Linked DNA regions of Pelodiscus sinensis. The main gene of each other region encodes a partner of the protein of the gene in region 3 in a complex. Links are inferred from orthologs where the notes say so. Each region holds a gene or a part of one and is shown on either strand. Other genes may lie near its edges.

Evidence for each region.
Region 1: EFTUD2 (region 3) and SF3B5 share a complex: the UniProt entries of both Homo sapiens proteins name them as parts of the minor spliceosome. The link is inferred for Pelodiscus sinensis from reciprocal best matches to the Homo sapiens genes EFTUD2 and SF3B5.
Region 2: EFTUD2 (region 3) and SNRPG share a complex: the UniProt entries of both Homo sapiens proteins name them as parts of the minor spliceosome. The link is inferred for Pelodiscus sinensis from reciprocal best matches to the Homo sapiens genes EFTUD2 and SNRPG.
Region 4: EFTUD2 (region 3) and CWC27 share a complex: the UniProt entries of both Homo sapiens proteins name them as parts of the minor spliceosome. The link is inferred for Pelodiscus sinensis from reciprocal best matches to the Homo sapiens genes EFTUD2 and CWC27.

Annotation. Positions count from the first base shown.
Region 1 is NC_134713.1:102,061,761-102,068,804, reverse strand, and holds SF3B5 (splicing factor 3B subunit 5), read left to right. Parts: upstream 1-5,255; 5' UTR 5,256-5,602; coding exon 5,603-5,863; 3' UTR 5,864-6,381; downstream 6,382-7,044. UniProt on the Homo sapiens protein: Component of the 17S U2 SnRNP complex of the spliceosome, a large ribonucleoprotein complex that removes introns from transcribed pre-mRNAs.
Region 2 is NC_134738.1:2,089,659-2,097,976, forward strand, and holds the start of SNRPG (small nuclear ribonucleoprotein G), read left to right. Parts: upstream 1-4,891; 5' UTR 4,892-4,994; coding exon 4,995-5,026; intron 5,027-5,444; coding exon 5,445-5,467; exon of another isoform or gene 5,468-5,525; coding exon of another isoform or gene 5,526-5,580; intron 5,581-8,318. Other genes in the region: protein FAM136A, read left to right, coding at 294-509, 1,791-1,979. UniProt on the Homo sapiens protein: Plays a role in pre-mRNA splicing as a core component of the spliceosomal U1, U2, U4 and U5 small nuclear ribonucleoproteins (snRNPs), the building blocks of the spliceosome.
Region 3 is NC_134739.1:148,689-156,652, forward strand, and holds the start of EFTUD2 (116 kDa U5 small nuclear ribonucleoprotein component), read right to left. Parts: upstream 3,212-7,964; 5' UTR 3,053-3,211; intron 2,175-3,052; 5' UTR 2,171-2,174; coding exon 2,066-2,170; intron 1-2,065. Other genes in the region: DNAAF19 (Ig-like V-type domain-containing protein FAM187A), read left to right, coding at 4,691-4,859, 6,289-6,442. UniProt on the Homo sapiens protein: Required for pre-mRNA splicing as component of the spliceosome, including pre-catalytic, catalytic and post-catalytic spliceosomal complexes. Component of the U5 snRNP and the U4/U6-U5 tri-snRNP complex, a building block of the spliceosome.
Region 4 is NC_134716.1:91,047,594-91,055,154, forward strand, and holds the start of CWC27 (spliceosome-associated protein CWC27 homolog), read right to left. Parts: upstream 3,515-7,561; 5' UTR 3,375-3,514; coding exon 3,333-3,374; intron 1-3,332. Other genes in the region: uncharacterized protein LOC102460411, read left to right, coding at 3,766-3,778, 7,115-7,162. UniProt on the Homo sapiens protein: As part of the spliceosome, plays a role in pre-mRNA splicing. Probable inactive PPIase with no peptidyl-prolyl cis-trans isomerase activity. As a component of the minor spliceosome, involved in the splicing of U12-type introns in pre-mRNAs.

The DNA.
Region 1 (7,044 bases), on a different chromosome or scaffold from region 3:
CAATAGTGATTTTGCTTCTGATACATTTGGAAATAACATTTCAAACTTCTTTACAATTAGGGTTAGATCCTGCAAAGTGCTGAGTGTAGTTGATTGGAAACAGTGTGCTCATCATCTTTCAATACTGAGCCCCTAGAGTATGTCTACAGAGTAACATTATTTTAAAATAACTAGCATTATTTCAAAATTACTTAATCTGCGTCTACACTGAAGGCAGTTATTTTGAAATAATGTCGAAATACTGTCAAGCTGGAGGACTTCTTACTCTGACTTCTGTAACCCTCATGGTATGAGAAGTAAAAGAAGTCAGAGGAAGAGTGCTCTATTTTTAAATAAGTGCTTTGTGGACGCTCTGACGTAGCTCAATTTGTGTAGCTTATTTCGCGTCAAGCCCTGCTGTGTAGATGCACCTCTAGTGAATACTGATCCTATGTATAGTGGTGCAGAAAACTGGTGCAGAAAACTGGAGAACACTCTAGAAAGATGATTGTGATAATTTTCCATTACTTTCTTCTCTCTTTTTACAAATATACATATTCCCATTCCATTAAAATGTTAAAAGGTATCTTGCTTGTGTTGACAAATGCCTGTGCTGCCCCACTGCACAGAGTTAAATTTTACCAATATCCACACTATTATTTTTATTGTAGTAGTGGCTAAGGCCCTCATTGTGTTAGGTTCTGTACACAATAGAATTAGAGTCAATCCTTGTTCAGGAGAGATTGCAATCAAAATATAGATGACAGACAAAGTTAGGGGAAAAAGAAAGAACTCATAAGGAGAATGAACGTTTATAATAACCATGAATCAGTTCTGACTGTAGGGGCTTATTCCAAGAAACAAAATGGCTTACATACTAATGTGGATGAAGCAGCTGCTGTACTTGAATACACAAGGAAACTATTTATCATATGGATTTTTGACTGCTTGGTAGAATTCTTAGGCAACTATGTTGCCAATGCTCAATATAATTGGTGGTCCTGGAGTCATCTGAATACATGAAAATTTCAGCATTCACTTCAAAAAATGTAAATTTCTAGCTCTCATGGTAGAGGAGAAAAACAAATATGATTCAGTGAAATCTAATGGCTCAAAATATCACAAGAATCACAATTTTAAAATCTCATTATTTTAATCTAATTTACAATTGTTAGGGTCTGAATAATGAATTGAGAATGTTTTGGGTTGGCAATACTGTACACAGTAGCCTGTACCATACAGTAGGGCTCCTCAACTTTGGAAACCCCAGGAGCCACAGTGAAACTCACAGCACATGCCGAGGGCTGCAACTTAAGTGTGGTTGCATATACATGTAAATATATATGCAAATATATGAAAATAACTTCTTTCACACTGACGGGCATGAATACAAAGATTAAGGCAACACTACACAACACACAGGCCCCATTTAAGTCAGTTCTTCTAATATTAATCAAATGCAATAATGATTTGCACAAGAGGGCTTTTGCCCAAACGGGAGCAGCATAGTATTTCCGCAAGAAGCATTGATTTCTTACAGTAGGAAGTCAGTGTTCTTGTGGAAATTCAAGGGGCCAGTGTAGACAGCTGGAAAGTTTTTCCGCAAAAGCAGCTGATTTTGTGGAAAAACTTGCCAGTCTAGACACAGCCAGTGTGTTTAGAGATGAGTTTTAGACTGGTGCAAAATAGAAATGTTAGAGTTCTGTCAAGATAAAGATTAGAATACTACCGTTCTAGTACCTAACTGAAATGATTAATATTAGTGTTTTTAAACAGACAAGACTTCTTTGTGGAGAGCAATTTTAAGTTTCTTTACAAATATTTTAAACATGAACATGAAGACTGCTCTATTAAATAGTTTTTAAGGATAAGATTTAAAAACATAAAGAGAGGAGATAATAAGTTGTTTTCTTCTGTCATAAGTTGCCCTGCTGCAGAGAAACATTGTAGTGGATACTGTTCTGACAAGCTCCTTCTATCTTAGACTGACCATAAAAAAATTAAACTGAGGTTTCCTATAGAGGGTGATTTAAATGTGTTTATGCCACCATACAAGTTCTGCTGTGGCTGCATGTATTTAGGACAGACAGCTGTTTCCCTCAGCTCTGTATTAGCTGTGATACTTTACCTGGGATGAATGACATAACAAGGTCCTGGAAGAAAGGTGAGAAAGACGGTGAGGGCAGGAGAAATCAAAGTATAGCTGCCAACATAATCTGCTTGATTTTAAGATGTTTTATTACCAAAATGAATGAAAAAAAACATAACTTTGTGATTTTTTTTTAATTATCCTTCAGTAATTCTAAGAAGGTTAAATTCACCTGGCAGACTTGTCTGCTGTATTTTTAGCTTCAAACACAAACTCAGCGCATTTGTTTAGAGAGGATTTTATTTTCAAAGTAAAGGCTTTGGAATACAGAATGTCCCTGCAACTATGATAGTTATCTCTTTCTGAGACATTTAATGTGTTCTTTAAACAGATGCTCTCTCTCAGTCCCATGTTTCTTAAATTGCGTTGTTTGAAGCTTTTTTCTATGGGTTACAATAGATGCTGTGACCTCTAGTGTGAAACTTCCTTTAAATACGCATGAATGCTGGGGAATAGATTATCAGTTTCTAAATGAAACTAAATTACTTTATTGTTAAATACTGATTTAGGGTCTACATTTTATTATTACATAATCTATTACGTAATGCTGGGAACTAGGAAAAAAAGGTGTCATCAGTATGAGTATTAATTGTATTAGTCACACTTTGTGAAACTATGACTGCATTACATAGGGTCATTGCAGATAGCCTTTAGCTTCTCTCTTATAAACTCCTTCACCTGAGTGTACCGTCCTTCTGAAGTCAGTGGAGCTAAGCACTGGTGTAGGAGCCAAAGAAGGCTGCCTTGCAGGATCATGGTCTTTATCTGCCCTTATGCTATCATGTACATGCCACGTATGTTATAGAAAAACTACTTTAAAAATGCTTCCGAGAGTTTTAATAAAGCTAGGTATGTACATCTAGCAGCACAGCTAGGTGTGTACATCTAGCAGCTTTATAGGAAAATTAAAAACTGAAATAACATATGCTAGCCCCCCCCCTCATAAATTTCATTTAAAAATCTCTGATTTTTAAAACTAATAGTTTAGGCCCTTTCAGGGTTATAAGCTGGGAATCTCTCCATTCCTCTGACAAAGCTCCTGTCGCTAGTTGAGATGCACTGCTAAATATCAAATCTCAAACATGTAACTGGGCCAGTGTAATATTTTGGGAGTGCAGGCTAGATTTAGAGATAGGTACCATGGCTCCCTTGTTTTTATGTTAAAATATATCATAAGCAATTCACTTATGGAAAGGAATCAAGATTTGGATAGCGAGGAGGAGAAATGGGAACTTGTAGAAAGAGCTTTACACAAGATTATTCAGTAAAGAAAGATCTTCCAGCTCGTACTCACAGGGGCAATGTACGCACATTATGTGGTTACGTGAGTTGTAGTGTCATCATAGTGTTTGGCCAATTATGTACATATAATAAGGCTTTCACAATGTGTATTGCACCATGGGACATCCGGAGGAAAAAAAACCCATGTAATTAACAAGAGGTTTTATTAGCCATGCATAACGAAGAGGTGATAAAATCTGTGCAAGTAATTATCAAAGAATCCTGTTAGTCAGTAGCCATAGAGGCCTGCTTGCAAGAAAAATGCATAATCTTTTGCAATATAATGTATTTTCCAACTACGACTGGAAATTCTTTCCTACCCTAGGCCCCACATTATTCTAACATATTTCAGGCTGGTCTCTGGAGAAATCTCAAGCAATTTATTTTCAGGAACATCTTTGGTACTGTATCAGCAGGACAACAAAACCAAAAATAGTGACATATCATGTGTGGGCTCTTCTGTCTCATGCAGGACAAATGGAAGGCTTTATAGCTTTGAGGTAGAAAATCACAGTATTTGTCTTTCTCCATTGACCTAGCTGTCTCATATGAGAACATTGCTATAATGACCTGTACTATGACACTTTTATAGCAGCAACCACTCATGCTGATTTCTGTATTCAAGTACAATTCTGACATCCAGTGGCCACTTAGAGTCCCTACAGTGTATTTCAAAGTGTTTTTTAATGTTTAAACCAATAGATTTTGCAAGTAAATATTTATTTATACATTGAAGTAGCCCAGTTACTTCAGGGAATCCATATATGGAGAACTATAGTCCCTTACTTATTCATAATAAATCTTGTATAAAAATAATTTATTGACGCTTTATACTAGTGAGCACACTGACAGTTACAAGTTTAGGCCAATACCTTTAATATAATATTATTGTAAAATATATGCTTAAAGATTAATGTCAGTAATTCAGGATCTCATATACCCAAACTAAATACTCAGTCAATCCTCTTTCAAGTTAGTAACAAAACTCTCCTTGATTTCTATGGCTGTAAGATCAAACATAAAATAGTTCTGTAAAGTAGATTTGATAACTCGGGTGATAACATTAGCGTATCTGAACTCGTATAATAAAACCAGGCTATAGAATATCTAGAGAACCGCATATGACCAGTAGGCACAGTGCCTAGGGCCCACAATACTTTTACAGGCTCATGAAAATAATTTTAATTTTTTTTAAAATCAAAAGAAAAAAAATGAACTTTTAGGGTTGAAGATAATATTTTAATTTTTTTCCTCACATCAGAAAAAAAGGAAACTTTCAGGGCCCACGAAAATCTATTAAATTTTGCCTAAAACAGAAAAAAATAAAATGTTGAAGTATTTAAAGTTATATCAAAAATATTTTTAATTTTTTTTAATGGAGGAAGGAGCCCACTAAAGTCATAATGCGGCTCTGCTCCCAACCGTCTACTTGAATCAGTTTTTAAAAGGGGTGCGATTTCACTCCCATGTTTGCTTTAACACAGATTAAAGCTGGTCCTCTAGGGCACAGCCTCTACCAGCTGCTCAGGCTCTTTCCGAGGCAGAACCCCATTCCCAGGGAGTCTCACGCGGAAGAGGCAGGCGGGGCGGGAGGCCCCTTTGGCCCCTTGCAGTTTTCGAACCATTTCCTCTGTTCCAGGGCACCACGTCATTCTCCGCTAGTGAACCCACGAGGGGAGTAAAACGACGGACACGTGGGCGCCCGGGGGCAGTTTGCGCTGCACGAACGCGCTGCGCACACGCGGCGGTGTCGGGACCGGGCTGGGGGCGGGGCCGGGAAGAGCCACGCCCCCAGTGTCAGGCCGCAGACAGGAACGAGGCGGGGAAATCAGCAGGCCGAGCGACAGGCCGCATCCCCCTCCCCTTCGCAAGCGCGGGGACTACTGCTCCCAGCATGCAACTGGGGCCGCGCTAGCGCGACAGCACATGCGCCGCCCAGAGGCAGCCGAATTTCCCTCGTATTTCAGCTGCGAGCGATCCCGACATGCCCCTGGGCGACCTGCACCTCAGTTTCGTTGTTCTCCTGCCAGTGCGGAAAAGCCGGTGAGTCATGGAGGCAATAGCTCCCGGGGGACATTACGCATTTCCTTCTACGCGTCACTTCCGGCCGCCATTTTGCGCTAGAGCGGGGAGAAGCCTGGGAGCAGCCGTTGGTCCGCGCTGCCCGGGGTGTCGCCTGCCGCCGCCGCCGCCATGACGGACCGTTACACCATCCACAGCCAGCTGGAGCACCTGCAGTCCAAGTACATCGGCACGGGGCACGCGGACACCACCAAGTGGGAGTGGCTGGTGAACCAGCACCGCGACTCGTACTGCTCCTACATGGGCCACTTCGACCTGCTCAACTACTTCGCCATCGCCGAGAACGAGAGCAAGGCGCGCGTGCGCTTCAACCTCATGGAGAAGATGCTGCAGCCCTGTGGCCCGCCCGCCGACAAGCCCGAGGAGTCCTAGCGCCGCCGGCTCTCTACCCAGCCCGGGACACTCCTCGCGCCCTCCCCCTCCAGCCTATGGACCCGGCCCGGTTTCCCCAGCACTCGCCCGCCCGCAGGGGAGCGACGCCTGATGGACGCGGGACGGGGTGAGGACGGATTCCAGGAGGAGCGAGAGGAAGCTGCCTCGTCGCTTCCGGGCTGAACTCTTATTTCCTCCCCGCTCGCGACTGGCCTAGGCATTGCCCCGCCGCCTCGCCTCCAGCAGCGGCCGTGGGCTGGGCGAGAGACTGGACTGTGCCAGCCCCGGGCCGGGGGAACCTGGACCATCTGTCGTCGCTTCCCGAGGTGGGACCTGGATACGAGGAAAGCCCGTTCTTTTGGACTCACTCCCAGCCTGGCCCGCTGCTCCTGTGGGGACTCGGCCTGAGCTGGAGAGACTCGCCCATTTCTTGTGGAGCAGCTCTGTTTACGATCCCTCTTTGTTTAGTGCTGCGGTTTTTTGATATGTGAAATAAAAATGCGTTGAGTTCTTTCAAATGTTGCTCCTGGTGATTTGCCTTTAAGATAACTTATGGCTCAGTAAGAGAACGAGGGACCAGTCAAGCTACAGCAATGTGCATTTCTAGGGTTTTCGGGTGTGTTTGCTTTGAAGCTTGAATCATGGTTTTCAAAAAAGGCATTAACTTCAGCTATTTCCCTATCCTGCATTTCAATCATATTTGTTTACCAACGTTCAAATACCTTGTAGTTTTGATGGTGCTCCAAAAGATTAACTTGAGTCATCAATGTATTGTGCTAGTAAAATGCACAACAAAGTAACTTTGCAGCATCAAAATTCTTATTGTTTAAAGTCCTGCTCACTAATTAAGTACTTGAATGCATACAGTAAGAAGTGAGTAAAACACTGCAGGGAATCTGTGAAAGGCTAAAACTTTTTTGCTAAAAGACTGCTATTAGTAGTTTATATAAACTCTTATCCATTTCCACAAGAAGCAAAAGTCAAACATTTTTTCTGTCTAGACCTATTAATAACGTTCATGGTTTTGTTTGGAAAGAGTAAAGTACCTAGAAATCCAGTGTAGGCGTCTTGGGCAGAGATGAAATGTTGGGTCAACAACTTGCAGGTATACAGCTGTTTTCTTTACTGGCAGTGTGAATTGTGCTGCTATTGGCTTGTTTCATCTAACTTGAATATCATCG
Region 2 (8,318 bases), on a different chromosome or scaffold from region 3:
AGTTGGGAGCAGGGAGGTGACAGGTTCACTGGGAAGCCTTAACACTTAACCCGTGGGGGCTGGAGCTGCTTCAGACCCATTGGGCCTGCTGTGGATAGGTGCCGCTCTGGCCACCCAGAGCAGCCCTTGTCCGCAGTGGGCCCTGCCTGCAGCGGAGAAGGGGGCTACTCCAGCCCTCTTCCCCACCTGGCCTTTAACTGGGATTTTACATCCCTAGCTGGGAGGTGTGCAATATATGCACGGGGCTCTCCAGTGAATGGGGTGTGTGTACTGTGAGATTTGAATGGCTACAGGCAACAGCTTTGGAAGAGTCAGGCCTCTGGCTGCCCGCAGCCCATTCCCAGCCAGCTTTGTTTCCGGCTCTGCAGGGGCACATGTTTCGCTGCAGCGCCGACTGCTGCGAGAATGACAAGGCCTCCATGCAGCAGGTGCACCACTGCATCGAGCGGTGCCACGCGCCCCTGGCCCAGGCCCAGGCTGTCGTCACCAAAGAGCTGGAGAGATTTCAGGTGAGGAGACAGTGACCGATGCCCCAGGCCAGGTTCCATGGGGCCCTACAGCAATAGCATTGGCAGTGGAAGTCTCTTGGAGGCCTCAGCTCCCCGAGGAATCTTCTTCTTGTCCGGTTTAATCTCAAGCCCTGTGCAGAGGTTTGCCGTGGACACATACGGGTTTGGGAGGTGGGGCCAGTCGGTTCTATGCTCAACCCCATTGCAAAAGTAACCTGGATCAAAGGGGACGTACCAAAGCAGGGACTACGTAATGTAAATGGGGCATCTCATGTGGGAGAAGAGGAGGCTGTGAGTGAGGGGAGTATTGGAGAACCAAGGTTGTGCTCTGTGTTCAATCCAGGCTCATTAGGAAGCACAGGGTTTGAAAGCGCAGGACACCAGAAAGGAGAACCTCCTGCAAAGAGAACGTGCCTTTTTAGGGTAGATTTTCCAGTGTGAAAGGGGCAAGTCTGAAAGCGAGCAGGCTGGAGGAGTAGCTACACACACACCGCCACCCCCTAGGGTTTGATATTTGGAGGGGAGCCTAAACAAAATGAGTTTGGAGTAGGGAGGTTAAATTTAATTTAATCCACTAATTGACTAGTTGGTAGATTTTTCCATCGACTAGTCAATTGATCAATAAGCAGGGGAGCCGCAGTGGGGTTAGTTCCTGCTGCGGCTCTGCCTTTTAAATGTATGAAGAGCCACCAGGCTGTGCTGACTCTGGGTCTCCCCCCGGCTGCATACCAGCCATAATGTAAAAAGGCAGGAGCGCAGCGGGGGGACCCAGCGCGAGCTGGGAATCAGCCATCCTGGCTCGCACACAATGGTGTTTCTGATTTTTAAACTTAAGAGCCCGTAGGCTCATAATACATTTAAAAATCAGAGGCGCAGCGTCTGGGACTGGACGCAAACTGGGAATCAGCTGATTCCCGGCTTGCACGTGGTCCCCGCTACCCTCCTGCTTTCCCTGCCCCCTGTGGAGACGGTGCTGCGGGGAACCGGCTCCTGCTGTTCCCCCTTGCTGCCTCGCATAGTCAACTAGTCACTTACATCCCTAGTTTGGAGGTCTCATTGCAAATGATGAGAGAAACTTCCAGATTGCAGCTGGTTTCATTCTTCTTCCAACCATTCCCTCCATTATAAATAATTTTGTTCTGTGTTCTCCAACACATGATGTCCACCTCTTAGATAGCAGGTTAAGAGCTCATTTTTCCCATGTCTGCACTTCCTCCCAATACACTTTCCACTTGCTCCCAGCCATTTGAACCTCTAAGTGTCTGGAATTCTCATTTGCAGGACCGCTTGGCTCGCTGCACAATGCACTGTAACGACAAGGCCAAAGACTCCCTGGATTCAGGGAGCAAGGAGCAGCAGGTGAAACAGCAGCTGGAGAGCTGCGTGACGAAGTGCGTGGACGACCACATGCATCTCATCCCCAGCATGACCAAGAAAATGAAGGAGACTTTGGCAGCTATTACACAATAAATCTGAGTTTGTTTTGGGGGAGAGAGGGAGAAGCATAGCTTCTATTAAGAGAGAGACGTGTACACGGAGATTCGTGTTGGAAATTGAAGCATGAAAATGGATGATAAGGGTGATTTTTGTATTTTCAAAGTATTGCAGTGGTCCATTCAACAGCTGGTTTGAAGTGTTGGTGTCTCGGGTTGATTTGAGAAGTGTCACCAGGTGTGGAGAGGACAGAGTAGTGACTTTGCTCCAGTCCTCAAAGGGTTAATGGTTAGTGTATGTATAGACCATGCTGCTAATAGCAGGATCCTCTATTACTTGATAGTACCTTGACTTACTTTGGTTGTAGTGAATTTAGGGCTGCTGGAAGGCACCTCCAGCTGGACAGGCCTGGAGTGTGAGGGACCTTTGTCCCTGGGACAGGTGCAAACTTCTCCATTGCTGCCTAACTAATATGCCTCAATAGTTCCCTGCAAGTGTTAAGAGTCAGATATAAACTGGTGTAGTTCCATTAGTGTCAGTGGAGCCATGCCAGTGTAAACGCTCTGAGTATCTGGCTCCAAAAGTCCACTCTCCCGTATTCTTGGTGGTGATGTGATGGGCAGAGGATCTGAAGTATAACTACCACTGGGTTTGATACCCTAGAATTCAAAGGGCCATAATTCTTGCCTCACTTGTTCTCTGGGCTATTGTGATTTAAAAAAAAATGCTTTGGGGACAGGATTTTTCCCTCCTCAACTGCCCTCATATCTGCAGAACTGATTGTCTAGCACTGACAGGTTCCCCCTGTCCTTCTAGTGCAAGTGCCTTTATGTTAAAGGAGACAAGAGGAAGTCAGGGAGACTTTTTTTTTTTTGCACTGGTAGGTCAAGTTTCTGCAGTTAAAACATCTTGGGTCTCTGTTGCCTCTCACACTGGCATAAATCAGAAGTGATTCCAATGGAATAAATGGAGATATGCCTGTGTGTGAACCTAGTGGAGAAAAAGCCCTTTAACTTCACCTGACCTCATCAGGCCACCAATCCCGTCATATATAATTCTACAAAGAGAACAAGGTCAGCCAGCTAAGTGTGGGTTCTCTGAAGCAATGAGTCACAAAGAACATGGCCTATTGAAAAGGAATGGCCAATACTACATAATGCTCCACTCATGCTGATTTTACATCTGTATTACTCCTGATTTGCAGTGGTGTAAGGAACAGCAGCATTCAGCCTGAAGTCTATCATTAAGAATTATAGCAGCTGTATTGTTCCATGCAGTGGGGCATAAATGTGTCGTCGTTTCCCCCCCCCCCCCCCCCCCGAGCCTCTGAAAAACAACCACCGAAGGTTTTAATAGGTGGAATCTCTCCTCCTTTTTGACCTGATAACTTTTTGACTTAACGCGCAGAGAACCTGTCCTTGATTCTCCCTCATGCTGGTATAAATCAGGAGTTTGCTTAAGTAAAGAATTGATAGCAGTGTTCAGTGCACTACCAGATTCTGTGTGTTGTGGTGCAGTCTTAAGGTGGATTTCAGATCTCATTCTTCCTCAAGCTGCAGGGACAGGGAGCAAGACAGAGGAGGTTGGTTTGAATGCTGGGGCAAGGTTAAGCTAGTCATGGATAACCATTAATAGCTGCCTCAGATATGGAGCTACTCGGCTACAGGAGTAGGCAATTCTGAATCTGTGGTCCTCAAGGGAAATGAACACAATACAGAGAGGTAGTCACCACCAAAATAAAAAGGGAAATGACATCCAGAAAACAGCAGCACCACCTGGTCCTGTCCTTGTGGCTGGAGACAATGTAATGAATACCTTAGGATGGTTCTATTTATTGTGAGCTGAGAGTCCTGTTTTGTTCCTTCTCATGAACAACTGTAATTAACACAACCATTTTGTTCTGTCCTTTTAAAAACGGATTTATTTTCTAAAAGTTTGATTCAAAAATAAATTTTAGATGATAACTCCTCTGAGTTCTTTCTTACGACTAGGCTCATCATTATGGCTACACTGCGAGAAGTGCTAAATGTGGATTTTGTGTATTCTACTGTGTTTTCCTACCTTGAGCTCTTCGTTTTGTATTATAGTTGGAGCTAGTATGTGTCTCAAACACTGCTAACATTTAAAACAGCTCTAGTTCCAACTCCCTGCTTTGGAACCAAAGAGCCAACCTTATTATTAATCCTGTTTAGTGCCTAGGGAAGCAATGCCAAATGGTGTGCTAAGGACTGCACAAATGGAATAGTGGCATCCCAACGGAACAGTCCCTGCCTCAAAGAGCTTACCAGCTAAAAAGTCAAGACAGGGAAAGGGGTGGCAGCAAACGTATGGCAGGTTCCTCCTGGATTGAAATCGGATTATTTGTCAGTCACCACTTTCTTGTGTAAATCGGAGCCAGATCCAAACTCCGCACATGTGGCAAACCTACATTTTGCGTCTACACGTTGTTAAACGGGCCGAACCAAAACAGCGGATCCAGCCCCCTGGAACGTGGTCAGGGCAGGTTCCAGCGCCAACGCGAACTGAAAAGCGAACCCAGAGGGTCGCTACATGCAACAAGCGAGGCCGTATTGTCTAGGGGAGCCGCGCATTCACATTTCAATGAGTCCGTATTTAGGCAGCATTGGTAACTCCGCGGCCGACGGGCCCCTGTGTGGAACCGGCTTTGGCATTATCTGCTTCGATCTGGCTCCCGAGCGGCCACTGCTTCCCCGGAAAAAGGAGATTGGGCCTCTATTCTGTGGAGTACGGCGGAGGTGAGCTAGGTGCCCTCCTCCATGAGGCGCTGCTGACGGGGAGAGAGGAAGCGGCACGGCCCGCATTGGCTGTTGGGTCAGTGAGGTCATCCGCAGAAGATGCCGGAGACCATGTTGATTGGCTGGCTGGTCTAGTGATGTCATACGCAGGCGCCCGATTGGCTGTCGGGGTCCCAGCACGCGGCTTCGGCGTCAGCTCTGATTGGTGGCTGTATCCGGGACGCGGTGACGCCAGAGGCTGGGTTCCGCGCGGAGGAGCGGGAGGCGGTTGTGCGGGGCTGACTGAGAGGGCACCATGAGTAAAGCGCACCCGCCCGAGCTGAAGAAGTGAGTGCGGCGGGGCGGGGCGGGGCGGGGCGCAGAGCGGAGATCGCCCCGCCGAGGGAGGGGCGGCTGGTCGAGGGGGGGGTGTAATTCCAGTAGGACCCACCTTAATTGCCTACTCCCCCAGTATCCCGGCATGCACCGCGCTGCCCAGTGAGGCCTGCCCGCGCGGGGTGGGCGAGACCCCTCCCGTGGTGTGCACATGGCTGCGCCCCGCCCCGCGCATGGGCGTAGCGACCCCGCCCGCTCAGTTCCGGGTGCCCCGCCCCCTGCTGAGCCCGGCACTCGGCGCCTCCCCTGGCCATTGGCGCCTGCGCACAAACCACGCGGCTGCCCGGGACCGGCCCATCTGCCGCGTTGTGGGGGGGCTCTGGCACGCCCCCTTGCGGCCCCCTAATGCGCTGCCTCCTTGTGCTTTCAGATTCATGGACAAGAAGCTGTCACGTGAGTTATTTGTGTGCGCGCCTGGATTGGTTGTGAGCAGCCGTCACGCTGCCATTGGATGGGCTGGGAGCAGCACTGTACACGTGGGTTGTTTGCCAATGTGTGTGTGATAGGTATGACACACCACTAAACAGACATGCTATTCTTAGTATTGAAACAATACACGGTGGCGACGGCTAGACTGGCAGGATTTTCCGCAAATGCCTTTAACGGAAAAGTTTTCCGTTAAAATCATTTGCGGAAAAGAGCGTCTAGATTGGCACAGACGCTTTTCTGCAAAAGCACTTTTTGCGCAAAAGCATCCGTGGCCAATGTAGACGCGCTTTTGCGCAAAAGAGCCCCGATTGCCATTTTCGCAATCAGGGCTTTTTTGCGCATAACAAATCTGAGCTGTCTACACTGGCCCTTTTGCGCAAAAGGACTTTTGCCCGCATGGGAGCAGCATAGTATTTCCACAAAAAGCACCGATTTCTTACATGAGATCGTCAGTGTTCTTGTGGAAATTCAAGCAGCCAGTGTAGACAGCTGGCAAGTTTTTCCACAAAAGCAGCTGCTTTTGCGGAAAAACTTGCCAGTCTAGACACAGCCATTATATCTAGTAATAGAGATGTAGCTTGCTGAAACAAAAGACAGGACTATGCAGCAAGAAAATTGGCATGACCATATGTACCAAAGGGATACAATCCAAAAAAGTGCACGCACATAAAATTGACAAATCTGATTTTAGAACAGAGGGCGGGTGAGGGAGGGAGGTTAGTGTCTATGAGATAATGATATTAAAATCTGATTTGTCAATTTTATATGTGTTCACTTTTTTCGATTGTATCCCTTTGGTATATATGGTCATGCCAATTTTCTTCCACAATTTGATCTGAGGAAGTGGGTCTGGCCCCACGAAAGCTCATCACCTAATAAACCATCTTGTTAGTCTTTAAAGTGCTGTATAGTCCTGTCTTTTGTTTCACATTATATCTGTGGATGTTGGGAGGTTAACTGAATCAAAGATGGTTCTCCCACAATGCCATTTACCCCATCAGGTATCCCCCAACACTTTGCACCATTGAGATCAGCTTTGTCATTAGAAAATAGAAAAGATTCAAAGGCAAAATATATTGAGCTGCCTAGGAATGGTAAAATGTGGGTAATTGTGTAACCCCTGAAAAAATTCAGTGGTTATACCCACCCACAACAGCAGTTGGCTCCCTGTGGAACTGACTGCCGCCTCTGTGCTAATAGAAAGGCAGCAGCGCAGGTTGGCAGCCAGCTCCCCAAGAGTAAGGGTGGGGGGCTTGCATGTAACCGTGAATGTTAACCAATAAGCTCAGGCTTATCTGTTAACTGCTTACACAGTTACACCTTCACATCCCTAGTATTGCACTGGTAGTGGTTCTTCATGTACCAGTATTTAGAATGCTGGTATCCAAAATAAAGATGAAGGTGCAGAACAATACGTTAAGAAACTGGTACCTGCTAGTGTGTTGGATTTTAAGCCAGGTCTACACTAGACCTGACTGCTCGGTTTAAGGTACGCAACTCCTGCTACGTAGACTACGTAGCTGGAGTCGGCTTAGCAGCGTCCCAAGTAGCGGGAGGCCAACAGAAGCAAAGGAGGAATACCGGATGCTGGCAGGGACACCCTCTGCTTGATTTAGCAAGTCTTAAAGACTTGCTAAATTGAACTCCAGAAGGTCGATCATGGCAGCAGTCATCTTCCTTTTAATAATGACTCAATGATAAACATAAAGTTTTGTCACTTGTGAAGTCATGTTATAAATAATGGTAGTTGAAATGTGTATCTTTGGAGCACATTTTCTGTATAAAGTGCTGCAAGATTTTTGCTTCCCACAAGAAGGATGTTTTGTCTTTAGACAAGATCTTTGGCTAATATTTCTTGAAAGATTTTAAGACAAAAATGGGTGGGAGAGTAGTCAAAAAATTGGGGTCCACCTGAAATGCTGCTGTGTTATTTTTGGTGGTGTTTTCCAATGCAGTTTTAATAGAATTGTGCATCTGAGTGTACAGTAGGAAAGAATTATCATGGAGCTGAATAATGTGTTTGGGGCCATGATAGGTGGCTGTTGAGTTGCTGTGTTTATCTCTGTTGATTAAAGTAATACACGAATGACAAAAATGGGATTGCAGTGCTCCAAAACATGCAGATATCATTGGTTTCTGATCTCCAGTGATGACAACTATGCCGTTACTTTTGTTTACGGTCTCGAAAGTGGCTGCATACGTAAATACATTTATATGATTTTACATACGCATTTATGACAAGAATGACTAAAAGTATTGTGTAGATCTTCAGTCTCCTTCAGTAATAAGAAATATGGTCTTGTCCAAATGACTGTATCTCTACAAATTCTTGTCATAACTAATGTATTATTCAGGTTGTATTGTGGTAAGGCCTAAGGACCCCAATAATAGGCTGGGATCCCGCTTTAAGCATTGTACAGACCTATTATACAAATATTTCTGAATAAGATGTTCTGGAAGGGGTTACAGAGCAGGGAAATCAGTGGTCAGCAGCACACTAACTGCCTGACTACTACAAAATGTTAATCTTCAACTCCTGCATGTTGAAGATTATAATATGAGACATTGTCGGCCCACATTCTTCTAATATTGACTATCTAGACTTCCCCATTATAACACTGCCTTTTTTTGTGATATGAAGCCTGTGGTATGGGGAATCCTAATTCCAATAATAAACTGTGGTCCTTTAACATGCAGTATGATGAAATAGTATTTCAAATAGGGATGTAAAATCCTGCTTAATTAGTTAACTAGTTAAACATTAGGTTGACCTAATATTTATCCAGTTAACTGACAAAAGCAGGATCTGGGCTGG
Region 3 (7,964 bases):
CCTGGACTGTCATTGCTCATTAAAATTGCAGTCATATGGGTGGAAACTGGGTAACTATTGCATTTCATTAATATCAGCAGAACTGACTTAGATGGGGCCTGCGTGTTGTGTAGTCCTGCCTTAATCTTTGTATTCATGCCTGTCAGTGTGAAAGAAGCTATTTGCATAAATATGCAACCACACGTAAGTTGCGGCGCTCGGCATGTGCTGGGAGTATCACTGCGGTCCCCGGGGCTTCCAAAGTTGAGTAGCCCTGATCTAGATCATATCCAACTGCAGTGCAGGCCCCAGTCTTTCTGTATCAGGCACCTTTCAAAGTCAGGTCCAGAAAAAGGTTGTGAGGGGCTTCCCATTTTTCAGTTTGGAGGCCATTTTCCCACCTGGAATCCATTTCAGATAGCCACAATGAGCAGCAGGTCATCTTTAAAACAGATCCCAACGCCATATGCAAGTGATGCTTACACGGCAGGCAATCGATAGTAATACCCAGTACACAACATACCCATGGACACACCACATCAAAGTGAAGCTACCAAACCCTGTGCATGAAACCCCCAAATCCCAGTTGTGTGGGAGCTGTGATTTCACCAGTACAATAATGACTATTTTACATGTACATATAAATACTCACACCATAAGGAATTCTATTTCTTTAAAGCAGAGGTGAGGAACCTTTTTTGGATAGGGGCCCCTGACAAACAAACCAAACCAAACCAATCCTCACTGATGTGGCTCAACTGAGAATGAGAAAGACATTCCCCTTGCACGCCAGAACTTTGGGGGCCCAGGCTAGTAGATGTAGTAGTTCAGTTTTGTGCACTCCAGCCCCATGGAGGAATAGTGAAGGGGCTGGAGCACTAGCGTGGGGACCCCAACCCTGAGGGGGACCCCAAGCCTCGGAGGCTGGATCTAGGAAAGCCAGGGGCCACATCCGGCCCCCAGGCCTCAGGTTCCACACCCCTGCTTTAAAAGAATAGCAGTGATTAGTTCCAATTTCTTAGATCATTGAAGATCTACCAAAAATTCAGTGAAAAAGAAATTTTCAACACCACTGCTAAACATACCACTGTTTCTTTTTTCATAAATACCATTCACATTCCTCGCTTCTCTAAATGTTCTTACACCAAGCTCACCACCAGACTCTGAATGCCTCCCAGACGTGCTTTAAACCATATGATGAACATGTCATGTCTTGGGGCTAACTTCTCTTACTTGGAGACACCAGAAAGTATCAGTAAAAATGAGCGATAGTCTACAGCTCTTGCTTAAAACATGAAAATCCTATTTGAATGTGCCCAGTAAAGGGGAAACTCACTTAAAACAGAGTAAGTTTCTTATTTTGTCCCACGTTCAAGACAAAATTCCTTGTCTTTTTCTGGCTATCAACAGGGCAGCCTAGTAGATTTTTTATTTTTATTATATTTTTATATACTTTGTTTTTGTAAATCTATTAAATCAGAATATTTAATAGTACATAAACATTTTCCTTCAAAACTCTAAGTAAGCTTGGTGTTGGGTTCTTTCTCTCTCACTTACTTACATTTTCTGGGGCCAGGAGACACTGACTCAGAAGAAATACAGGCTGAACCTCTCTAAATCGGGACTTTGGTCTGGCAACATCACACCACAGATGTTCCAAGACCAGAGTTCCAATGAAGAGCTGGCAGCCTAAAGCCCTGTGGGCTGACAGTCGGGCTGCCCAATTGGGCCTGGAAGCACAGTGGGGCTGACAGGGTAACGATGCCAACGGCAAGGGGTGAGCAGGCTGGGAGGTCATCAGCCAGGTCAGGGCTGGGGGGCCAGAAATGACCTCCCCTGGTCCGGCACAATCCCTCATTGTCAGGGATGAGGGACGGGTCAGGTCACAAGGGTGCCGGACCAGAGAGGTCCAACTTGTAATTACTTTTCAGCTTGCATCAGATGTCTGTGGATAACTACAGTCTTGATTAAACTTCAGGAGAACGGGAGGAGGACAACTAAGACCAGAATAACTTTCATTTCAGTTTTACATTATTTTGGTGCCATTTATGATAAACGAAGGCTTTTTGCACAAGTTTCACTGCACCTCATCAAGATCCTTGGACTCTCTACCCAGTTCATCGTCGTCGTCATCCGAGTCGAGCTCTGGCCCGATATAATTCCCGAACTCGTCATACAAGTCTGTGTCCATGATGCTACCGTGAGAGAGAAAGTCACGTGTAACGAGACTCCTTGGGGCAACGGTTTCCCGGCACCAGGGACGAAGCGGAGTCCTGCCCCCGACCCCCACCCTTGCCAGTTGAATTATTTATGAAACATCTGACAACTGCCCAGTGCGCCCCTACTCCCCCCCAGCCCGCCCAACACCCCGCCCACGTCACCTCCCTCCGAGCCCCCTCCTGAGCAATCAGTGCCCATCCCACAATGCACCGCGGCCACCCCATCCCCACGAGACCCCCTCTCCCAGCCCGTCACCCGCCCCAGGGCCCCCAGCGCCCCGCCCCCTCCAGAGCGCCCCCACCCCCCAGCGCCCCCCCGGCCCGCCCGTCACCCGCCCCAGGGCCCCCAGCGCCCCGCCCCCTCCAGAGCGCCCCCACCCCCCAGCGCCCCCCGGCCCGCCCGTCACCCGCCCCAGGGCCCCCAGCGCCCCGCCCCCTCCAGAGCGCCCCCACCCCCCAGCGCCCCCCGGCCCGCCCGTCACCCGCCCCAGGGCCCCCAGCGCCCCGCCCCCTCCAGAGCGCCCCCACCCCCCAGCGCCCCCCGGCCCGCCCGTCACCCGCCCCAGGGCCCCCAGCGCCCCGCCCCCTCCAGAGCGCCCCCACCCCCCAGCGCCCCCCGGCCCGCCCGTCACCCGCCCCAGGGCCCCCAGCGCCCCGCCCCCTCCAGAGCGCCCCCACCCCCCAGCGCCCCCCGGCCCGCCCGTCACCCGCCCCAGGGCCCCCCAGCGCCCCGCCCCCTCCAGAGCGCCCCCACCCCCCAGCGCCCCCCCGGCCCGCCCGTCACCCGCCCCAGGGCCCCCCAGCGCCCCGCCCCCTCCAGAGCCCCCTAGTCCCCCCCGGCCGGCCCCACTCACCCGCCGCCGCCTCCGGCCGCCCCTGCTCCTCGCCTCGCGCTCCGCGCCTTCCGCTCCCTCCCGGCAGCCGCTGCGACACCAGCGCGGAAGGACCCGGGGCTGGCCCCTCGCCTGCCCAACGGGCCGCTGGGATTCCCGCTGCAGCCCGCGCCGAGGCCGAGGTCGGGGTGGGGCGGGGCGGGGGGGTCGCAGGCCTGGGTCCGGCTGGCTCCGCGGGGCCGGGGCCGTTTCGGCGGAGCCGGATCTGATCAGGCGCGTGGCACGGACAGCCCTAGCCGGGGGCCTCGGCGCCGCGCCGCTCGTTGCTATGGAGACCGCCAGGAAGCCGGGCTGCGGCGTGGGCCGTGGCGAGGCGCGGGAAGGGGGATCGATCCCAACCCCCCCCCCCCCCTCCCCAGCGAGCGGCTAACGGGCCCCCCGCGGCAAGCGGCGCTGGGCGCCTCTGCAGGGCGATGGGGGGAGGCGGGGGGGCCTGGAGGGGGCGATGGGGGGAGGCTGGGGTGATGTGGGGGGAGGCTGGGGGGCCTGGAGGGGGCGGTGGGGGGAGGCTGGGGTGATGTGGGGGCAGGCTGGGGGGCCTGGAGGGGGCGGTGGGGGGAGGCTGGGGTGATGTGGGGGGAGGCTGGGGGGCCTGGAGGGGGCGGTGGGGGGAAGGCTGGGGTGATGTGGGGGGAGGCTGGGGGGCCTGGAGGGGGCGGTGGGGGGAAGGCTGGGGTGATGTGGGGGGAGGCTGGGGGGCCTGGAGGGGGCGGTGGGGGGAGGCTGGGGTGATGTGGGAGGAGGCTGGGGGGCCTGGAGGGGGCGATGGGGGGAGGCTGGGGTGATGTGGGAGGAGGCTGGGGGGCCTGGAGGGGGCGATGGGGGGAGGCTGGGGTGATGTGGGGGGAGGCTGGGGGGCCTGGAGGAGGCGGTGGGGGGAGGCTGGGGGGCCTGGAGGGGGCGATGGGGGGAAGGCTGGGGTGATGTGGGGGGAGGCTGGGGGGCCTGGAGGGGGCAGTGGGGGGAGGCTGGGGTGATGTGGGAGGAGGCTGGGGGGCCTGGAGGGGGCGATGGGGGGAGGCTGGGGTGATGTGGGGGGAGGGTGGGGGGCCTGGAGGGGGCGATGGGGGAAGGCTGGGGTGATGTGGGGGGAGGCTGGGGGGCCTGGAGGGGGCGGTGGGGGGAGGCTGGGGTGATGTGGGGGGAGGCTGGGGGGCCTGGAGGGGGCGATGGGGGGAGGCTGGGGGGCCTGGAGGGGGTGATGGGGGAAGGCTGGGGTGATGTGGGGGGAGGCTGGGGGGCCTGGAGGGGGCGATGGGGGGAGGCTGGGGTGATGTGGGGGGAGGCTGGGGGGCCTGGAGGGGGTGATGGGGGAAGGCTGGGGTGATGTGGGGGGAGGCTGGGGGGCCTGGAGGGGGCGATGGGGGGAGGCTGGGGTGATGTGGGGGGAGGCTGGGGTGATGTGGGGGGAGGCTGGGGGGCCTGGAGGGGGCGATGGGGGGAGGCTGGGGTGATGTGGGGGGAGGCTGGGGGGCCTGGAGGGGGCGATGGGGGGAGGCTGGGGTGATGTGGGGGGAGGCTGGGGGGCCTGGAGGGGGCGATGGGGGGAGGCTGGGGGGCCTGGAGGGGATCGTGAGGGATGCCAGACACAGGGAGCAGATGCTCAGCTTGCCACCCCCTGCCCCCTCCTCCCAGTGCTCCATGTGGCTTGAAAGTTTGTCTATTGGACCCCCCATTGCTGCTGCAGGAGACAAGCTTTCCAGCTACACCAGCTCTTCCTTCAGCACCCTGAACTTAAACCCTGGGTGCCACGCTGCACCCCCTTGTGAGGATGTTAAGGACTAGTCAACTATTCGATAAACAAAACGTGGCGCTGCCGCTTTGAAATGCCACGCGGAGCCCAGGATCAGCTGGGGAGTCCAGAGCTGACCCAGGCGCCGCGCAGCATTTCCTTGGCACCCGGGATCAGCTGGGGACTTTCCAGCTGATCCTGGGCTCCGCATGCAGCATTTCAAAGCACGCGGAGCCTGGGGTCCACTGGGGAGTCCCCAGCTGATCCTGGATTACTTGGAAATGCCACGCAGAGCTCGGGATCAGCTGGAAAGTCCTCAGCTGACCCCATCTCCGTGCAGCATTTCAAAGTAACCCTGAGTCCCCTGCTGACCCCAGGCTCTGTGCAGGCATTTCTGCTTTGACATGCACAAGAGCCACTGCTGAGGATTCTTGTACAGTTCAAAGCTGCCCTCCCCTCCCCCTTTTGCTCTTGTGCATTTCGATGCAGAAGCGCCTGCACGCAATCCGGAGTCAGCAGGACTTCCCGCTGGCCCTGGGCTGCACGCAGAGTTCCGAATTCCCCCTTTGAAATGTACAAGAGCCTCCACTGGGGAATGCGGAAGTGCAGGGGCTCTTCTACATTTCAAAGGAGGAATGCGGAAGTGCCGATCGACTACTCGACTAGTAAATTAACCAGTATTTAACATCCTTACCCTCTTGTGTACTTTGGGAAGGGCCTCACTCCAGGAGTATTGCCATGAAACAGGAGATTTGCAGAGTATTGTGCTACTCAGCAAGAGGAAAGGTTCCTGCCTGGCACATAGGGCTTTCTATTTACTGGCATCTGAATCTGACCTTGAATATTTTACACTCTCCCCACATGCCTATTGCCGATTTGTAAACTTTTAGGCTTTATTAACTGAAAAACAATTAGGAGTCCTCTGGCGCCTTAAAGACTAACAGATTTCTTTGGGCTGCTTATGCCCACATAAATCTGTTGGTCTTCAAGGTGCTCACAGGAGGAGTTCTAGTTTTCACAGATACAGATGAACACAGTTGCCCCCTGAGACTTTATTAACCACCACATTCTTAGTGGGGGATTTTAGCAAAGTTTGTGTGACAGCAGCCTTCAGTTAATGTTCAGGGAGTGTGATGATCAAGCAATACACAATAACACCTGTTTTATGTGACAAACTGTGACTCCAGAACAAAACCACTTTGTGTAGTAGAGGTTGGTCTTTAACAACAGATTAAAAATTGCACTGGAGACTTGGGCATCCTTTCAAGTGGTTATTTAAGACAGGAGTTTGCTTGACTGAGGTGGGATCATTAGCACATGACACACTCTAGTAGTTACTTACAGTAAGTCTAGCAAGAATTCTGGGGATGAAATGGGTGGCTGTGAAAGAGAAAGGAGTACTGTATTCTCTTTGTGTGATGCTTATGCACTAAAGTCACTCTTGTGGTTTTTATGTTTTGCTCTTAGATCTTTGGAATGGAGGAGGCTGAAGCAATAGATTTTTGTGCATTAGAGAGAGAGCTGCAGGCTGCTGTTGCTGCTGATGAAAAGTACCAAAGAGAAAATGATGCCAAGTTCCGAGCCGTTCACCAGAAGGTGGCATCCTATGAAGAGTTCAGGTTTGCAGGATTTTGGTTTCTTTGCGAGTCACAGTCTTGGGAATGTAACAATCGAACATTCTTTCGTTAGGATAAAAGTTTCATATTGATCACAGAATCATGGAAATGTAGGACTGGAGGGTGCCTTGATGTGTCATCTAGTACAATAAGCCCTTTTAAAAAATGTGTTTTTTTAGTGGTTAGGGAGAACAATTTATCCTCTTAAAACAACCTACTCTTTAAACCCTTGTCTTTTAAACAACCTTTTACGTACTTTAGGGCTATTATGTCCCCCTTCTGTCTTCTCCAGACTAACAATCCCATTATTTTCTGTCTTTCCTTGTAAGCCGTGTTTTCTAGACTTTCAATAATTTTGTTCCTCTCCTCTAGAGTTTCTCCACATCTTTCCTGAAGGGAAGTGCTCAATACTGAACAAAAAACTCCAGTTGCGGCCTTATCAGGCTGACTAGAGTGGAAGAATTATTTTTTGTGTCTTGCTTTCAGCATTCTGGTAATTTATCCAAGAATTATGCTTCCTTCTTTGCAGAAGAATTACATTGTTGATTTAATAACGAGTGGTCCAGTGGCACCTTAGAGACTAACCTGTCGTGGCGGGCCTGGGCGTCCTTCAGGCAGGGGCTGCTCTGGCTGGGCTGAAGCAACCCCTTCCTGAAATGGGGGGGCCACTCCAGCTCGGTCAGGCTTGACTGCTCCCCCACATACTCCCCCCATTAATTGGTTAACTGGGCAAACAATGTGTTTAACCAATTGAATGGGGTTTTGACATCCCTATTATCCAAATGATTTCTGAAGAAATTGAACAGAACCAGCCCCAGGACAGATCCCTGAGACCCCACTCAATCTGCCCTTCCAGCTTGGCTGTGACTACTCTCAGTTGCTTTTATAATGCCTTGTGCATCCCTCTTACAGCAGGTGCGTTTAGGCTGCGTTCCTCTAGTTTGTTGAGGAGAAGGCAGGTGAGACCGTATCAGGAGACTTGTCACATCTAATGCTTCTCCCTGTCCTCAAAGGCTTGTTGCTTTGTCAAAGAAGGAACATAAGGTTGGTTTGTTCTTGACAAATCCATGTTGACCACTACCTACCTGCTTATTATCTTCCCCTAGCAGACTCACCCTGTGCTGCCCGGGTCCCTCAGGGCAGGGCCTTGGGCATGTGGGAGGGGGGACAGGAGACTCAGGGGTGGAGAGTATGAGAATGGGGGCTGAGGAGGGGCTCAAGATGGGGGTATCGCACCTGCCCACCAGGGGCCTGTTCTCCCCCTCCCACAGGCCTGCTCAGCCTGCCAGGGGCCTGTTCCCTCCCCCCTCGTACCCTTCACCTGCCAGGGGCCTGTTCCCTCCCCCCTCGTACCCTTCACCTGCCAGGGCCTGTTCCCTCCCCCCTCGTACCCTTCACCTGCCAGGGGCCTGTTCCCTCCCCCCTCGTACCCTCCTCCTGCCAGGGGCCTGTTCCCTCCCCCCTCGTACCCTCCACCTGCCAGGGCCTGTTCCCTCCCCCCTCGTACCCTCCACCTGCCAGGGCC
Region 4 (7,561 bases), on a different chromosome or scaffold from region 3:
ACAAGGGAGCACCCTGCTTAGAGTCAACAGTCAGCTGAGTAGCAGCTGGCAATTGACTTTAAGTGCTGAGGCCCTTGCAGGGCAGAAGGAGACTTCATGTGCTCTCCCGGCTCCCAAGCCCCAATTGGCCTGGGGATGGGGAGAGTGCACGAAGTCTCCTTGCAGAATGGGAGCAGGGTGTGGCACTTAGAAGCACCACGCCCCTCCCAGGGCGGTAGGAGACTTTGCTCACTCCCTTCTCCCTGCCCCCAGGCCAATAAAGCTTGGGGGTGGGGGAGCACACAGTGTCTCCTCCCACACTGCCAGAAACATCCAGCGCTTCTAAGTGCCACACACTCCTTGCAGGGCGGGGCAAAGTGGGAGGAGACTTCATGTGCTTCCCCCACATCCAGGCCCTAACTGACCTGTGGGTAGGGGAAGTGGCAGGGCTTCCATGGGCCAGATCAACTTGGCTCTTTTGTCCATTCCTGCTATAGTGTGTCCATTGGGGCAGCCATAATACCAAGGAAGTGGCCAGCAGGGCTGAGGCTCTGACATTTTGCCTGCCACCAGAAAAGGTAAGCAAGGCCCTCCTGCCAGGGAGACAGCCCCTGCCACCCTCACTCCCTCACCACAGATGCGGTAAGGGGGAGAGAAAGAGAGACCCTGCTGCACCCCCTGCTTCAGGAGGGATCAGGGGAAAGGGAGATAGCCCCCCAAATCCCGGGAAGGGCCAGGAGGGGAAGAAGAGAGCCCCCTGCCCTGGGTGGAACCAGGACGGGAGAGAGAGAGTCCCCCCATGACCTGGGCAGGGTCATAGGGGAAGAAAAGAGCCCCTGCCATCCCAGAAGGATCTAGGGGGAGGAAGACACCCTCCACTCCTGGCTGGGCCAGGAGGGAAGGAGCGAGCCCCTGCTTGCCCTGGGGACAAGCCAGCAGAGGGAGTTTGTAGTACCCGGTGCCCTGGGCTATCCACGAGGAGAAACCAGCAGCCACTCTGTCCTGAGCCCCCCTGTCCTGAGCCTGCCTCATCCACCCAATGCTCACTCTCACACACTCCCATGCCTCCAGCCTCATGCCCTGAGCTCCCCACATCCCCAAGGCCCTACCCTGACTCCTGGACCCCCACACTCCATGAGCCCTCTGCAATGAAGCACCTGGGCAATGCCAGATAAGTCTTCTAGTAGTAAAGAAAACAAAAAGCCTCCTCAATTCCTTCTTACCATCAGTGAGAGATGAAACTCCCCTATTCTCTTGTTTGCAAGTGAAGCAGCCTATTTACTCTTTCGTAGTCCTTTACAGTTGTTAACGTCAGTGAGTTAATAGTAGTTACAGTCCTTAGTTGTTTAGAGAGATTAAAATTCAGTTGAGAGATCTTCTCCTTCCCATGTACCTTTGGCACCAGGGCATGCCAAGGTCTCCAGGCTTCAAAGCCTCTGGATCCTGTGGTAAGTATATGCTCAGAAGCAACCCCCACACTTCATATATGAAGTGTTTAGGGCAGTGGTCACCAACCAGTAGATTGTATTATTTGTCGAGCCCTGGACATAAGCATCATGCATTCCCCTTGACCCACCCCACACTGATGTCAGTAAAGTTCCCCTAGTGATCTGCTTGCATAATCACAAAAAAGTAGTCCTTTCTGTTGCTGTACTCTATAGCAAGGTAAGCTGGTATCAAAATGGGGATTTGTCTAATGTATATCACAGCCTTGGAATCCCATTGCTACAAATCCATGTACTATGTCTTCCATATTACCAAGAGTTCCAAATTATTCTAAATTGCATACTGGGAACTTTACTCTTATCTCCCATAAATCACGGTGTGCATCATTTCTATCCCACCATAGGAGAAAACTTCCCTAAAGGTATTGTGCTAGACCAGGGTGGGCAATGAGTGGCTCACAGGCCAGACGCTGTTCACCACGGCAGGCCACTGATGCTTTATTTACCTGTGCAGCTGCAGGTACAGATGTTTGCAGCACTCATTGGCCACAAATTGCTGATCCTGGCCAACAGGAGCTGCAGGAAGTAGCGTGGACTGCGACACCACTTCTCGCAGCACCCATTGGTCAGGAACACTGATCGGGGGCCAATGGGAGCTGCAAATGGCCGTACCTGTGGACATGCAGGTAAATAAAGGGCTGGCGGCTTGCCCTGGGCTAACTGTGGTGAATTGCCACTGTCTTATTGCTCACCCTTTCACTATTCAGCGCTGGTTTGCAGGCTGGAATACCTACATGCAAGTCACCACACTTTGCATTGACCCAACTACTCTGCATGCATATGTTCAGTGCCAAGGCAAGCAATCAAGAATGCAAGCACAGGACTATATGCTCACACAGGCAATACGCTAAGCTAACTTGCACCTGCCAACAACTGTAACATAGTTGTAGGAGTGCTGGAACTACGGATGTGAATGGTTAACAGAGCAGCGTGCTGTGGGCAAGGGCGCTCCAGTCCAGCTGGAGCAACCTACACCCGCAGCCAGCCCAGCCTAACTGCTCCAATGTGTCCATGGTGAATGGGGCAGGAGGTGGCTCCAATACATCTGGTCTGGAGCTGCTCCCCCCACACCCGCCCCCATTTATGCGGTTGACTGGTTAAACATAATATTTATCTAGCTAGCTGACTGAATGGTATTTTACATTCCTAGATGGAACCACTTTATAGTGTGGGTGGCGATGATGGAAACCATGTACTTGTTGGTTATGGCTGCTTCAAGCCAGGAGGTGCAGCAGCTCTAGGGATGCAATAGTGTAGCCAATTAACCAATTAACTGGTAAGTAAAAGCTTACTGGTTAATGCTATATATTACACGCATTTCCCTCCTCCCCTGCCAGTAAATTTTTTAGCAGGCTGGCCAGAATCCTAGCTCACACCAAGTCCATGACCTACCCCCGCTGCAGCTCTGCATTTAAAGTGTATTAAGAGCTAGGCAGGCAGGCAAGCAAGCAGCCAAGCTCAGTTCTGCTTTGCACCAGGTCTGGGAACTCTGACCCCACCTAGACCAGAGGCAGCAGCCCAGGGCAGGCAGCTGGTCTCCGAGGGCAGCTGGTTTTTAACCCGGATTCCCTCATGGACCAGCTCCCACCTGGCACCCTGTGCTGCGGCCGCCTCTGTAGCCGAGGTAACGGCTCCTTGGGAGCGGGGCTGGAGTGCGCTGGCTGCCGGCCCCACCCCGGGGGACTATCAAATAGCCAGTAACAATAGGAATTGATGCGGTTTCTTGACTATTCAATTAACTGATACTGAACAGTCCCGCGGGCCCTTCTCGGCGCTGCCCGTCGGGCTCCCGCTCCCTTCGCCTTCCCCAGGGGCCTGGCGGCGGCTTCTGCTCCCCCCCCCCCGCACCTTGCCGTTGGTCGGAGGCTCCTGGATGTAGATGTTGCTCATGCTGGTGGCGGGGCGGGCACGGACCCGGCGACTCCGATTTCGCTCCTGGTCTGGCGCTGCTGAAACCCCGACTAGCTCTGCGAACCTCCCGCCATCTTGGACCCCGGGATTTGGCGCCGCGGCGCGGGGGGAGGCAGCAGGAGCGAGAGGCCAAACGCGGAGCCGCAGCACCCGCTCTGGGAAACGCCTCCGTCGTGCGCCCTAGGCCTGAGTTCCCCCAGCGACCCGCCTCCTCCATCCCCCGCACTGACACCGTGGTGTGATCCCGCCTCCCCTCCCCGCCTAATGGTACGGCCCGGTGTGCGCTGCCCAAAGCCCTCCGGCCGGGACGCTCGGGTGTCGGGCCTGCGTCCGGCTCTGCCCGGGGAGAGCGTGCGGGGCTCGTGGCTTCATGGCGCTGCCAGGTGAGGGCTCTGGCCCGGCGTGGGGGCAGCGGGCGGCCGAGGAGACCCTTGAGACGCTGGCGCGGGAGGCCGGGACGGGAGCCTGGGTGGTGAGGGCGTCCCATCGTCTCCGCTCGCCGAAACCTCCGGTGGCTCTTGGGGGGCCGGACCCGTCCTGGGAGGGTGCCCGTAGGTGAGACGAGCTCGGGGCAAAGGTCCAGGGGGAGACAACGCAGTGAAGCTTTGAAAAGAGCCGGGCAGCAAGTGGGGGCCGGTATCAGCCTAGAAAGGAAGTGGCCACGAGCCGAGTGAAGGAAGAAACCCAGGTTTCGCGGAGGGTCGGGTGGGGGGGGGGGGATAGTTATATACTGATAGCTAAGGCCAGAAGGGTTCATCATGATCAAGTCCTCTGGCATGACCTTTGCAGGCTACAGAATCCACCCACGCCTGTACGTTATTGAAGTCCTTGAATCATAATGTAAAGATGTCACATAACACTTGATTAGCCTCATTTACCCAAGTATCCTCTTTCTTAAGTTGTCCTTGGCTGTGTCTACACTGGGCCACTTATTCCGGAAAATCAGCTGCTTTTCTGGAATAAGCTGCGAGCTGTCTACACTGGCCCTTGAATTTCCGGAAAAGCAACGATGCTCTACTGTACAAAATCAGCCGCTATTCCGGAAAAACTATTCTGCTCCCGCTCGGGCATAAGTCCTTATTCTGGAACACTGTTCCGGAAAAGGGCCAGTGTAGACAGCCCAGTAGTCTTTTCCGGAAAAAAGCCCGGATTGCAAAAATGGCGATCGGAGCTCTTTTCCGGAAAAGCGCGTCTACATTGGCCACAGACGCTTTTCCGGAAAAAGGGCTTTTCCGGAAAAGCAGCCTGCCAATGTAGATGCTCCTTTTCCGGAAAAACTGAAAACGGAATAGTATTCCGTTTTAAGCATTTCTGGAAATTCATGCCAGTGTAGACACAGCCCTTGTGTATATCCCCCTGCCTTGGTAAATACCACTCCAATTTATTTGATGATGAGGATTTTACCTGTGGACGCTTATGTCCTAATAAATCTGTTAGGCTATTTCTACACTGCAGACTTCTTGTGTAAGAACTATTTTGTGCAAGAGTTCTTGCACGAGAGTGCGCCCACACTGCCTTGTGCTTTTGCACAAGAGCATCCATGGCAGTGTGGATGCTCTTTTGCACGAGAAAGCTCTGATGGCCATTTTAGCCATAGGGGTTTATTGTGCAAGAAACCCCTGTTGCCTGACCACACTGCCTTCTTGTACAAGAGCTCTTGCGTAATAGGGATTATTCCTTGTAGGGAGAGGAATAACTCTTGCACAAGAAGTTCTCTTTTCTGATGTTTTACTGTAAATTTACTTGTGCAAGAACACACGTGCAGTGTAGACATTTCACAAGTTTTTGTGCAAGAACAGCTGTTCTTGTGCAAAGAGTCTGCAGGGTAGATGTAGCCCCCATCTCTAAGGTGCCATAGGACTCATTGTTTTTGCAAACACAGACTAACATGGCTGCCCTTCTGAAAGAATTCATCAGTACATTAATATAACTCAACAAGTGATCTCTGTCCCATGCTGTCTGGTATGGAGGAGAGCTGCTTTCTGACCACAAATGCAGCAATCAGACCACTGAAACTTTTCTGCAGTTACAGAGTTACCCAATTACCTGCTTTTTAATATTCCTACTTGCTACTAGCAATTGTAAATGGGTCATACCCAATCTCTGCAGGGGGTGGATGGACAACAACAGAGCAGGGCAGTTTCCCCTGCTTTAAAAAGACAAAGTAAAGCTTCTCTCAGGAACTTACTCAGCAGCAGCCAACACACACACTCTGTCACTGTCACACACTCTCAGTCTGTGTCACAGTCTCTCTTTCTCTAGCCACGAACCCTTCCACCTGAAGCCCTGCCCCTTTTGGGATGCCTGAAACCAACCTGTGGCCAAGTACAAAAAGTACTTGGCACTAATTGTTTTAACATAGAATATCAGGATTATGGTGATAGGATACATGGTAGAAAAGTGACTTTAGGGATGTTGTAACACAGTTGTATTCTGTTTCCCTTTGCATTATGGCTCAATGCTTTTTCTTACCAAAATAAGTTAAAAAGTGAGAGAGGGACATGTTTTGGGCAGTGTTCCCTCTAAGCTGTGCAGGCAGCACAGTTTCACAGGTGATTAATCAGCCCCACCGAGCCAGGCTCAGGGCTCTGTGCATGGAGCTGACTGATTAATCATCACCTGTGAAGTTGTGCTGCCTGTGCATCTTAGAGGGAACACTGGTTGTGGGAACAGGTGATGCTCCTGATAGTAAGATGGCCTGTGAACAAGCACTAGATATGATTGTTATTCACCTTGGGGGAAATGATTTGGGGAACCTGTAAAGGGGTAGGCTCATTGTTCAGATCTAAGAGGGACTTGGGGCAGATCCTAGAACTTTCCCAGGAGTAAAAATTAATTGGTTGGACATGTTGTGACACAGGGTTTGGCAGGAAGCTGTGAAGCCTCCATGGGTTGACAAGAGTAGGAAGTATGAGAACAGAGAGGGGGCCAAAATCATAGATGGCATAAGGGAGTTGATGATTTCTCATCCTGCCATACTATATTGGACAATATAGGGTTCACCTGCAGATTTAGAAGTTGATATGTTTTTGGCTGATATTGAAGGCATCAATAGATTTCTGGGAACTGGGCTAGGTGTGAGGGAAGACAGTCAAGCTAATTGCTGGAGCCTCTGTCACAGATGTTCAGTACAGGTACTCCAATAGGGAATTGATAAAGTGATCCAATAAAATAAATTTAAACACAATTTAAAGAAGGTATTTAAAGGAATGGAGATGGGTGGTTAGAGACTGGTATGACTGGGAGTTAGCCCCCTCTTTTTGGAAGAGGATGAGATGTCCCAGCAGTGGGATTGCTAAGAACCAGAATGAGGAAGGGGCAGCGCTGTCCCCACATATATGCAAATGATTAGAGAATTATATGCACCATAAACTTTAATTTGCTGGGTACTCCGAGACATTTAAATCACATCCATTGTATCTTATCCTTCTGGCCTAGCCAGACAATAGACTAGCTAGTTACAGATTTTTTTAATAGACTGAAGGAGTGGGCTGTGCCCACGAAAGCTCATACCATCTACATGTTTTGTTTGTCTATAAAGTGCTAGCAGACCATTTGCTTGCTGGTTTTTTCTGTAACAGACTAACTCAGCTACCACCTGAAGCCACTGCAATATGCATATGCACTTTGACACCATGTTAAATCAAATATAAAGGATAAAAAGAAACAATTTTGTGTGTTACTAATTAGAACATAAACAGAAGTTTGTTTGTTTTCAGGTGGAAATAAGGATAACATAAGGGCAGGATGCAAGAAGTGTGGCTATCGTAAGTATGAAGGCAGTATAAAGATGTCCACCATTTTGCAGGGAGGCAGGGGAAGCCCCATGCAGCCACCTGCTACGGGCCAGCTGGGGCTGCAAGCAGTGACGGAGGAGAGGGGCTAGATGAGGGGCGGCACTGCGGGACCAACCCGGCAGCACCCCAGCTGCTCTGCCCCGCTGCTTCCGCCTCTTGCAAGCAGGTGGCAAACAGCGGTGGCAGACTTGGGGAAGCGGCGGAGCAGAGCAGCTGGGGTTCTGCCGGGTTGGTCCCGCAACGCCGCCAACCTGGCAGCACCCCAGTTGCTCTGCTCCGCCGCTTCCCCAAGTCTGCTGCTGCCACCGCTTGCAACCTCAGCTGGCCTGTCACCGGCGGCTGCGTGGGGCTTCCTCCGCCTCCTTGCAA